3 linked regions of the Macaca fascicularis genome follow. The protein of the gene in region 1 interacts with the protein of each later gene in a pairwise test. Links are inferred from orthologs where the notes say so. Each region holds a gene or a part of one and is shown in the gene's direction. Other genes may lie near its edges.

The links.
Region 2: the proteins of TRIB3 (region 1) and ATF4 interact in binary tests that used the Homo sapiens proteins (3 or more experiments, as listed by UniProt). The link is inferred for Macaca fascicularis from reciprocal best matches to the Homo sapiens genes TRIB3 and ATF4.
Region 3: the proteins of TRIB3 (region 1) and APOBEC3C interact in binary tests that used the Homo sapiens proteins (3 or more experiments, as listed by UniProt). The link is inferred for Macaca fascicularis from reciprocal best matches to the Homo sapiens genes TRIB3 and APOBEC3C.

Annotation. Positions count from the first base shown.
Region 1 is NC_088384.1:87,020,590-87,024,235, reverse strand, and holds part of TRIB3 (tribbles homolog 3), read left to right. Parts: intron 1-1,288; coding exon 1,289-1,581; intron 1,582-3,646. UniProt on the Homo sapiens protein: Inactive protein kinase which acts as a regulator of the integrated stress response (ISR), a process for adaptation to various stress. Inhibits the transcriptional activity of DDIT3/CHOP and is involved in DDIT3/CHOP-dependent cell death during ER stress.
Region 2 is NC_088384.1:12,124,509-12,128,148, reverse strand, and holds ATF4 (cyclic AMP-dependent transcription factor ATF-4), read left to right. Parts: upstream 1-874; 5' UTR 875-1,067; intron 1,068-1,671; 5' UTR 1,672-1,763; coding exon 1,764-1,989; intron 1,990-2,090; coding exon 2,091-2,920; 3' UTR 2,921-3,005; downstream 3,006-3,640. UniProt on the Homo sapiens protein: Transcription factor that binds the cAMP response element (CRE) (consensus: 5'-GTGACGT[AC][AG]-3') and displays two biological functions, as regulator of metabolic and redox processes under normal cellular conditions, and as master transcription factor during integrated stress response (ISR).
Region 3 is NC_088384.1:12,650,054-12,653,799, reverse strand, and holds the start of APOBEC3C (DNA dC->dU-editing enzyme APOBEC-3C), read left to right. Parts: upstream 1-960; 5' UTR 961-982; coding exon 983-999; intron 1,000-2,364; coding exon 2,365-2,521; intron 2,522-3,746.

The DNA of each region.
Region 1 (3,646 bases):
CCATATTTTCTAAAATGGGTGCCCCCTTCCAAAATAATCTATTCCAGGCCAGGTACAATGGCTCACGCCAGCTCAGGTCGAGGCAGGCAGATCACCTGAAGTCAGGAGTTCGAGACTATCCTGGCCAACATGGTAAAACCCTGTCTCTATTAAAAATACAAAAAATTAGCCAGGCATGGTGGTAGGTGCCTGTAATCCCAGCTACTCGGGAGGCTGAGGCAGGAGAATCTCTTGAACCCGGGAGGCGGAGGTTGCAGTGAGCTGAGATCACACCACTGCACTCCAGCCTGGGCAACAAGAGCGATCTCCGTCTCAAAAAACAAAAAACAAACCAAAAAAACACCTCTATTCCAGCATCTTTCTTTGTTCCTTTGCAATGCTTATCAGCATTTGTCAATATTTAGTTTCTGGGCATGTTTGCATGGCCTCCCAGCGGGCACCGGAGAGCAGAGCCCATGGCTGTCAGTCCTGCTGGACATGTGGCTGGCCCACACAGGCCCAGGGCCAGCATACTGAATGAATGAAAGGGTGGGTGGACAGTCAAGTGTAGAGGACAGGAGCTGTGATGGTGATGAGCATCAGGTGCCTTCTGCATCATCTGCCCTCCTGGATTCCTCCTGCTTTGAGGGTTATTTTTCTGTTTGGGTGACCTGTTACTTTTCATTTATCTGATGTTTGAGGCCATATAGCCTAGCAGTTAAGAGCACAGACCAAAGGCCGGGTGCGGTGGCTCACACCTGTAATCCCAGCCTTTTGGAAGGCTGAGGCGGGAGGATCACCTGAGGTCAGGAGGATCACCTGAGGTCAGGAGTTTGAGACCAGCTTAGCCAACATGGTGAAACCCCATCTCTACTAAAAATACAAAAATTAGCTGGGTGTGGTGGCACACGCCTGTAATCCCAGCTACATGGGAGGCTGAAGCAGGAGAATCACTTGAATCCAGGAGGCGGAGTTTACAGTGAGCTGAGATTGCGCCACTGCGCTCCAGCCTGGGTGACAGAGCCAGACTCCGTCTCAAAAAACAAAAAAGCACAGACAATGGAGTGCATAGGCTCAAATCCCAGCTGTGCTGCTTGCTGGCTGTGTGGCCTCTCAGCTTCCTTAACTGTAAAATGGAGTGAGTCATCCTACTTACAGGGTGGGGTCAGGGCTGAATGACTCGGGAAGTGAAGCGCTTAGTGCAATGCCTAGCACATGGTAGCACAGCTAGGCCAGCTGTGACTGTTTGCAATGCCAGCCTCAGCTCCCGGGAGTCCCCAGCTGTGCTCACACCATTCTCTGCCCACAGGTGTACCCCATCCATGAGGCCCTAGCCGTGCTGGAGCCCTATGCGCGGCTGCCCCCGCACAAGCATGTGGCTCAGCCCGCTGAGGTCCTGGCTGGTACCCAGCTCCTCTATGCCTTTTTCACTCGGACCCACGGAGACATGCACAGCCTGGTGCGAAGCTGCCGCCGCATCCCTGAGCCTGAGGCTGCTGTGCTCTTCCGCCAGATGGCCACCGCCCTGGCACACTGTCACCAGCACGGTCTGGTCCTGCGTGATCTCAAGCTGTGTCGCTTTGTCTTCACTGACTGTGAGAGGTGAGTGTGGTTGCAGAGCCCCAGCCACAGACACACCCAGGGGGTGGGCCATGATGGAGAGAAACCGAGGCCCAGGAAGGCAAAGTAACTTAGGCAAGAAGTGGAGAGGCTGGAGTAACTAGCAGCCCCTGTCTAGTTCCCTGAGAAGAGTTGACTGAGGCCAGGTGCAGTGGCTCAGGTCTTTAATCCCAGCACTTTGGGAGGCAGAGGTGGGTGGATCACTTGAAGTCAGGAGCTCAAGACCAGCCTGGCAAACTTGGTGAAAGTCCGTCTCTACTAAAAATATAAAACTTAGCCGAGTGTGGTGGTGCACACCTGTAATCCTAGCTACTCGGAGGGCTGAGGCAGGAGAACTGCTTGAACCTGGGAGACAGATGTTGCAGTGAGCCAAGATCATGCCACTGCACTCCATCCTGGGCAACAGAGTGAGACGCCATCTCAAAAAAAAACAAAAACAGAAACAAAAAAAAGAGTTGACTCAGTCCTCTTGGGAGCCCCTTTGGAAGGCTGGGATGGAGCACTGAGATGTGAAAGTCATAGTAGCTGACAGTGATGAAGGCATCGCCACATTATCTAATGAGGTCTTCCATCCTTACACACATGAGGCAGGTGCTATTATTATTCTCATATGATCAAGGAAACTGAGGCCCAGAGAACTCAAGTAACTTGCCCAAGATCCCATAGCAAAATAAGTGGTAGAGCTGGGATTTGAACCTAGATCTGACTCCAGAGCCTGGGTCTTAATTCAATCTGAGCGTGAGAGGCAGGGGGCCTGGCTGGGCTTACCAACTGACTTTGGGTGACCTAGTGTCTCCGAGCCTCAGTTTCTCCATTGGTAGGGAAAAGGGCTGGATTGTTAGGGTGTTTTCAGGATTCTAAGACCACAGCCAAAACATGGTCTGAGGTTCCCCACACGGGCACTTTTTCTGTGAAACTGAGAATTAGCACTTTTTGGTTAAAAGATAATCTTCCTTCTCTAGGTTGGGATGCTAAGAATTTTTTTTTTTTAATTGAGACAGAATCTCACTCTGTCACCCAGGCTGGAATGCTATGGTGTGATCTTGGCTCACTGCAACCTCTGCTGCCCAGGTTCAAGTAATACTCCTGCCTCAGCCTCCCAAATAGCTGGGACTACAGGCATGTGCCACCGTGCCCGGGGTTTTGCCATTTTGGCCAAGCTGGTCTCGAACTCTTGACCTTAGGTGATCCGCCTGCCTCAGCCTCCCAAAGTGCTGGGATTACAGGTGTGAGCTACTGTACCTGACCTAGATGCTAAGAAAACATTTTAAAAGATAATTCTGGGGAGAAGGGCAGAGAGACTCGCCTCCTGTTCCGTCTCCAGACTCCTGGGGGCAGTCAAGATGTGCCAGGGAGTGCACTAAGCTGCCAGTTACACAGGAGTTTTCTGTGGAGAAAGGAGTGTGACCCCATTGCATTTTCAAAAACTTTTTATCTTGAAATAATTTTAGACTTTTAGAAAACCTACAAAAATAGTTCAAAGAGTTTCTATATATCCTTTAACCAGTGTCCTCCAATGTTAACACCTGACATAGCTATGGTACAATTACCCAAACTAAGAAATCAACTTTGGTAGAGTACTATTAACTAAGCCACAGATTTATTCCAATTTCCTGAGTTTCCCACTAACACCCCTTGCTGTGCAGGATACAGTGAGGATCCTAATTTAGTCGTCAGTGGTTTCCTTGGTCTCTTCCAATCTGAGACAGTTCCTCAGTCTTTCCCTATCTTTGATGACCCATGACCTTGACACTTTTTTTTTTGAAACAGGGTCTCACTCTGTCACCCAGGCTGGAGTGCAGTGGTGTGATCACAGCTCACTGCAGCCTCGATCTCCTGGGCTCAAGTGATCCTCCCACCTCAGCCTCCTGAGTAGCTAGTTCTACAGGTGTGTGCCACCCCTCCTGGCTAATTGAGATGGGGTCTTGCCTGGGCTGGTCTCGGACTCCTGAGCTCAAGCAATCTGCCTGCCTCGGCCTCCCAAAATGCTGGGATTATAGGTGTGAGCCAACGCTCCTGGCTATAACTTTGAGATTTTTGAAGAGTA
Region 2 (3,640 bases), about 75 Mb from region 1:
CTGGCCTTTGAGTGTAGGTGGGCAGGCCCGAGGCGCCCTCTCGAGACCCCTTCAACCTCCCGGGGGCAGCAACACCGTGTCGGCTATGAATGGCGTCTCTGGAAAACTCAGGCTTGGAACAGGTAACCCCGCGGTTTCCGCAGGCCAGAAATTAGCCCCCGCAACCGAAGGACGCGCAGGCTGGGAGTGGCGGCGGGGCCGCCAGTGGCGGACCTCCACTGAGGGCGGCGGGACCCGACCGCAGGGGCTGGGCCCTGAGGCCACTATGGGGTGCGCTAGGCTAAGGTCTCCTGGGGGCAGAAGCCAGTGCGATTGTAGCTGGCCAGCAGGCTGGCCGGCCTGAGGCCTGGCAGAGACCCGAGACCCCGACCCTTCCCACGCGGACTCCGTGATCCCTCTCCCAGCAGCCGCCCACCTGGGGCCCTGAGCCAATAAGAGCTCGAGGTATATATGACTCACCGTGCCTGGGCCAATCAACTTGACGCGCGCTTTTCGCCAGCACCTCGCGCGATAACTTGGCGTCCTCGGCCTTCACAATAAAAACTCTCCGCCGGAAAACGACCTCTCCCCGCCCACCGCGCCGACACCGGAAGCGAGGCGTGTCTGCGAGATCACTCCGCGCTCCGGCGGCGAAGGAAAGAACGGACTCTGATCATAGAAGTAAAGTAGTGCACCTCTCTCGTTTCGTGAGGTCATAAGAACAAACACCTTTTCTCGTCACAGCTACGCGCTGGGCATAAACGGTTGGGGCGTCAAAGGGAGGGAAACGAGCGGGCGGGAGGAGATGGTCACGTGGCCGTGGCGGAAGGATGCGTCGGTGCTGCGTCCCCTTAGAGACGAAGTCTATAAAGGGCCGGCGGGCGGCTGTTGCGGCCATTTCTACTTCGTCCGCCCACAAATGTAGTTTGGTTCGCACGTGTGCGCCTTCCCTCCTCCCCGCCCGCAGGGTCCACGGCCACCATGGCGTATTAGGGGCAGCAGTGCCTGCGGCAGCATTGGCCTTTGCAGCGGCGGCAGCAGCACCAGGCTCTGCAGCGGCACCCCCCCCCAGCGGCTTAAGCCATGGCGTGAGTACCAGGGCGGGTCGTCCAGCTGTGCTCCCTGGGCCGGCGCAGGTTTTGGGTTGGTGGGGTGCGGCCTGGGGCCCAGGGCGGTGCCGCCAAGGAGGAAGCGATTTTACGAGCGCCCGGGACGCGTGGTCTTTGCTTGGGTGTCCCCGAGACGCTCGCGTGCCCGGGATCGGGAAGGCGCATTCTGGTGCCAGGACTGCTTCCACAGGGGCCCTGCCGCCCTCGGACCCCGAATCCCCCAAGGGTCCCAGGGGTCTCGGCTTTCCCCCCCCGCGAAACGTGGCAAGAACCAAGATGGCGGCGGCAGGGCGGCGCCGCGGGCGTGAGTCAAGGGCGGGCGGTGGGCGGGGCGCGGCCGCCCTGGCCGTATTTGGACGCGGGGACGGAGCGCCTTCCTCTTGGTGGCCGGTGGAAGAATCGCCTGGTCTCCGTGAGCGTCCATTTTGTGGAACCTGAGCCGCAGCAGGGAGGGGCGGATGCAACTGCCCCGTTGCCGACTCTGTAGATGGCTGGACTAGAGAAGTCCCGCCTCGTAAGTGGAAAGATGAAATTCTCAGACCAGCTAACCTCTAATGGGAGTTGGCTTCTGATTCCCATTCAGGCTTCTCACGGCATTCAGCAGCAGCGTTGCTGTAACCGACAAAGACATCTTCGAATTAAGCACATTCCTCGATTCCAGCAAAGCACCGCAACATGACCGAAATGAGCTTCCTGAGCAGCGAGGTGTTGGTGGGGGACTTGATGTCCCCCTTCGACCAGTCGGGTTTGGGGGCTGAAGAAAGCCTAGGTCTCTTAGATGACTACCTGGAGGTGGCCAAGCACTTCAAACCTCATGGGTTCTCCAGCGACAAGGCTAAGGCGGGCTCCTCCGAATGGCTGGCTGTGGATGGGTTGGTCAGTCCCTCCAACAACGGCAAGGGTGAGTGGGCCACCACCACATCGTCTGGGTGGGATCTAGGGTTAGGGGCCTGTTATCTTTGTATCTGACTCACTTGGCCCTGTCATTCAAATCTTTTGCAGAGGATGCCTTCTCCGGGACAGATTGGATGTTGGAGAAAATGGATTTGAAGGAGTTCGACTTTGATGCCCTGTTGGGTATAGATGACCTGGAAACCATGCCAGATGACCTTTTGACCACGTTGGATGACACGTGTGATCTCTTTGCCCCCCTAGTCCAGGAGACTAACAAGGAGCCCCCCCAGACGGTGAACCCAATTGGCCATCTCCCAGAAAGTTTAACAAAACCCGACCAGGTTGCCCCCTTCACCTTCTTGCAACCTCTTCCCCTTTCCCCAGGGGTCCTGTCCTCCACTCCAGATCATTCCTTTAGTTTAGAGCTGGGCAGTGAAGTGGATATCACTGAAGGAGATAGGAAGCCAGATGCCACTGCTTATGTTGCCATGATCCCTCCGTGCATAAAGGAGGAAGACACCCCCTCAGATAATGATAGTGGCATCTGTATGAGCCCGGAGTCCTATCTGGGCTCTCCTCAGCATAGCCCGTCTACCAGGGGCTCTCCAAATAGGAGCCTCCCATCTCCAGGTGTTCTCTGTGGCTCTGCCCGCCCCAAACCTTACGACCCTCCTGGAGAGAAGATGGTAGAAGCAAAAGTAAAGGGTGAGAAACTGGATAAGAAGCTGAAAAAAATGGAGCAAAACAAGACAGCAGCCACTAGGTACCGCCAGAAGAAGAGGGCGGAGCAGGAGGCCCTCACTGGCGAGTGCAAAGAGCTGGAAAAGAAGAATGAGGCTTTAAAAGAGAGGGCGGATTCCCTGGCCAAGGAGATCCAGTACCTGAAAGATTTGATAGAAGAGGTCCGCAAGGCAAGGGGGAAGAAAAGGGTCCCCTAGTTGAGGGTAGTCAGGAGCGTCAGTGTGCTTGTACATAGAGTCTCTGCTGTTGCTGTGTGTTGGAATAAATTATTTTGTAGGGAAAGTACTTGTGTGGATTCTTTTTCTGGCAAATTAGCCGAGTGAGGCGCCACCCACCCATCCCAAACTGGTCATAACATTCCTTGTGAGATCTGGGGAGGAGGGCAGTCCAGGACTGAAGATGGGTACCCAGAGTGGGAACTGCTCGCCCTGCTAGGTGTAAGCCACGATGCCTGATGACTCATGGGGCCATACAGCCAGATAGTTGGCCAACTGTAGCAAGTTGGGTCCTTTACCCAGAGGTGAGTTCGCTGGTTGTGTAGGGAGGAGGCTGGAGCTCTCTGGGAGGTTGGGAGGGAGGGACAGCCTGGGCCTCCACCTATTTATTCAAGAGGGCTTCATGCCAACAGCTGTCGCCTGAAACCCTGGATAAGCTTGCACAGTCCTTGAGATAAGCACACAAGATTAGTTTTCACTTGTTACCCTGAGTTCTGTAGAAGCGTGTTCCTGAAGAAAGAAATGGCTCCTTTTCGGAATTGATGCTGAAGCAGGACAGGAGCTGAGGGTTGGCCTCCATTTCTCCTTATGGGGTGGAAGGATGACATCCTGCACAGGTTCTGGCTAGAGCTGGGCACAAAGGCGACAGTTCCTGTGAAGGCTGTTGTGCCTGTTGCTACCTAAATAGAAGGCCTGGCATCA
Region 3 (3,746 bases), about 74 Mb from region 1:
TTACGCAGGTGGGACAGAGGGCTCACCTCTTGTATTCTCGGTCATTTCTCACAACATCCCTTCAGCACTTGACCATATACCCACCAGTTACATAATAATATTGATATTACTCTTAATAAAGGAGTGTAATATTAAAGAGTAATAAAGAGTAATATTAAAAGCTAATGATTAATGTCTATACTAATGATTGATAATGTCCATGATGATCTCTACATCTAATTTGTATTATAACTATTCTTATTGTAAGTATATTCTTTACTATACTGAAACAGTTTGTGCCTTCAGTCTCTTGCCTCAGCACCTGGGTCATCCTCCACCCACACCTCTGAGGGGCTGACCTGCGCCCCACCTTCTGGAAGCTGGGAGGTTGGAAGAGGGAAGGCATGCAATGGACCCAGCACACAGCTGGGAACTTGAGGCACACCTAAGCCTTCACTTGTGCTGTGCGGAGTCCACACTTCCTTCCCCACTGGAGTCTCAAAACCTCCCTCACTCAACAGGGAGGTGCTGCTCAAAGTTCTGGGCACACATTAGGGCTGGGGAGGGGGCGGTGGAGAGGGGGCTCCAGCCTGTCCATCCACCAGACAAGGGGGCACCTGCCCCTCTCTCAGCCTGGTCTGGACCCGCCTCCCAGGCTCTGGCTGCAATGCCTTTCTCTTTCTCTTTCTTTCTCTTTGCAATTCCGTTGGGTCCTGCCCAAGACAGATAAAGACAGAGCAGCCTGTCTTTGTCTGAGCTTCCTCTGCCAGTGGGAGGGGCCAGAAGAAAACCAGAAAGAGGGCCAGAGTCAGAGAAACGGAAAGCACCCCAGGGTCTCCCACACCAGTGCCTGAGCAGGAACGGGGAGGGGCCATGACTCACAAGGCCCTGGGAGGTCACTTTAAAGAGGGCTGCCCAACTGCAAGGACTCTGTAAACGGGAAGAGAAGCCACAGCACTTCAGAAAAGAGTGGGACTGGACAAGCGTATCTAAGAGGCCGAACATGAATCCACAGATCAGGTACCTCTGCCCGCTCTGTCTGCCAGGCCCCTCCTGCCCCTTCCTGCCTGGTGGTCCTGCTGGGTCTCAGCCCTGGCCTCCCCCTGCCCCAGCCCCACCTCTGGGCTCCCTCCCCTCTGTCTCCCCCGCCGCCGACACTCCCAGCCAGGCTCCTTGCCCTGCTGTGTGGTCGCCCCACTGCTGCTTCTGAATGGGCCACCTTCCCCACCTGCACCAGCCCAGGCCCCCTGCTGAGACTCTCCCCAGAAAGTCACCACTGGGCTGGTGCTCCCCACCCTGGGAGGGTGCTCCCTCTGTGTGTTTCCCACCATTCCTGAGCTCTGGAACTGGGAGAATTGAACCAAAGGATGATTGGGTCAATCCGACATTTTGTTCTCAGCACTTTGATGAAATTTCTGTAAGATTTACTTTGTTTCAATATAAAGTCTTAGGAGAGGGTGTGGGGGAGGGAATGGTCTCTGTACCAGAAAATAAGGCATTTCTTCCAAAGATGCCACCAGTGTGAACAGAGGAGGATGCATATGACTCCAGACACAGGCTCCTCCTTCGTGAGCACCATTCCCCTTTTAAAATGACCCTGGTAACATGGAATGTAGAAAAAATATGATGATTAGGACAAATACCCTTATTTTACCCAGGGCACGGTGGCTTATGCCTGTAATCCTAGCACTTTGGGAGGCTAAGGCGGGTGGATCACTTGTGGTCAGGAGTTCGAGACCAGCCTGGCTAACATGGTGAAAGCCCGTCTCTACTGAAAATACAAAAAATTAGCCAGGCGTGGTGGCGGGCACCTGTAATCCCAGCTACTTGGGAGGCTGAGGCAGGAAAATCCCTGAACCCGGGGGCCGGAGGTTGCAGTGAGCCGAGATTGTGCCACTGCACTCCAGCCTGGGGGACAGAGCGAGATGCCATCTTAAAAAAAATAAATAAATAAAGGTAGCCTTGGCCTGGGGAATTCGGTGTGATATCATCATCGGACAGGTGAAATGGGAGGAAGGAACTGAGCTGAAATGTTCAAGCAATTATTTCAGGGTGAAGAGTTTTATTGTCTGTTGCATTTTCCTAATGGGTTGGGAGATGTGTGGCAGAAAAACTGGGAGGTTGAGGGTGTCCCATTGGTAGCCCCAGAGCTGGGGTTCCAGATGGGAGAGGTCACTGCAGCCCTGCTGCCCCTGCCAGCATCGCCTCCTCTTTCTCTCTCCCAGTCTTCCTGCCTGGGAAAGCAGCAGACATTCTCAGGACTGCGGAGGGATGGGGGAGGCCCAGAGCCCAGGGCCGTCTAGGGAGTGGTGTTCAGTGGGCATCAGCCCCCAGGACTCCGGCGGGGGGGGTCTCTGCATTGGGGTTTCTCTCTTGTGCCCTCAGAAACCCGATGAAGGCAATGGATCCAGGCACATTCTACTTCCAATTTAAAAACCTATGGGAAGCCAACAATCGGAACGAAACCTGGCTGTGCTTCACCGTGGAAGTTAGAAAGCAGCACTCAACTGTCTCCTGGGAGACGGGCGTCTTCCGAAACCAGGTAGCACCAAAGTCTTAGTTGCACCCCAAATAGGAGCTAAGCAGCTGGGAATGCAGAAAACACAATAAGTGACGTGCCTGGTGCGGGCTCTCCTGTGTGTACTTTCTTGCCACATGTCTTTTTTTTTTTTCTTTTTTCTTTCTTTTTTTTTTTTTTTTTTTTTGATATGGAGTCTCGCTCTGTTACCCAGACTGGAATGCAGTGGCGCTATCTCAGCTCACGGCAACCTCTGCTTCCCGGGTTCAAGTGAGTCTCCTGCCTCAGTCTCCCAAGTAGCTGGGATTACAGGTGCCTGCCACCACACCCAGCTAATTTTTTTGTATTTTTAGTACAAATGGGATTTCACCATGTTGGCCAGGCTGGTTTCAAACTCCTGACCTCAAGTGATCCACCAGCCTTGGCCTCCCAAAGTGCTAGGATTACAGGCGTGAGACACCATGTCTGGCCTCCTCCCCACATTTTTTAAGTCCGTGGCCCAGATCTTCCTCCCTGACTCTCCTGTGATCAGATTGTGGAGGGGTTTTGCTTCTTCCCAAAAGGCCTTGTTTAGCACCCAGCACCCTCACTCTTGACTTTGTTCCCCAAAATCTTGTCATGGAGTTGTACATCCGGCAGTCCTCGGGAAACAGCAGCTGTGGGAAGCAGGGGGTGTGGTGTCCAGCTCTGTGTCTGGGCCAGTCACTGCTGGGCTCGTGGGGCCGCCCCTGCCACTGCCCTGATTCCTCAGCAGAAGGCAGGCAGGGACCAAGGCAGACCCCAGAGGGCCAGGCCATAGCAGGGGCTGAGGATGCCTGGTGAATGGATAGCTGGGAGAAAATATGGCAGAATTCACACATAAGTCTATGAGACAGGGAAAGACTCAATAAAATAAAGAAGGAAGGGGCCGGGCACGGTGCAGTGGCTCATGCCTGTAATCCCAGCACTTTGGGAGGCTGAGGCAGGCAGATCATGAGGTCAGGGATTCGAGACCAGCCTGGCTAACATGATGAAACCCCATCTCTACTAAAAATACAAAGATTAGCCAGGTGTGGAGGTGCATGCCTATAATCCCAGCTACTCAGGAGGCTGAGGCAGGAGAATCGCTTGAACCTGGGAGGCAGAGGTTGCAGTGAGCCAAGATTGTGCCACTGCACTCCAGCCTGGGTGGCAGAGCAAGACTCCATCTCAGAAAAAAATAAAAATAAAAGAATAAAGAAGGAAGGAGAAGGATAGAACAAGGGAAACT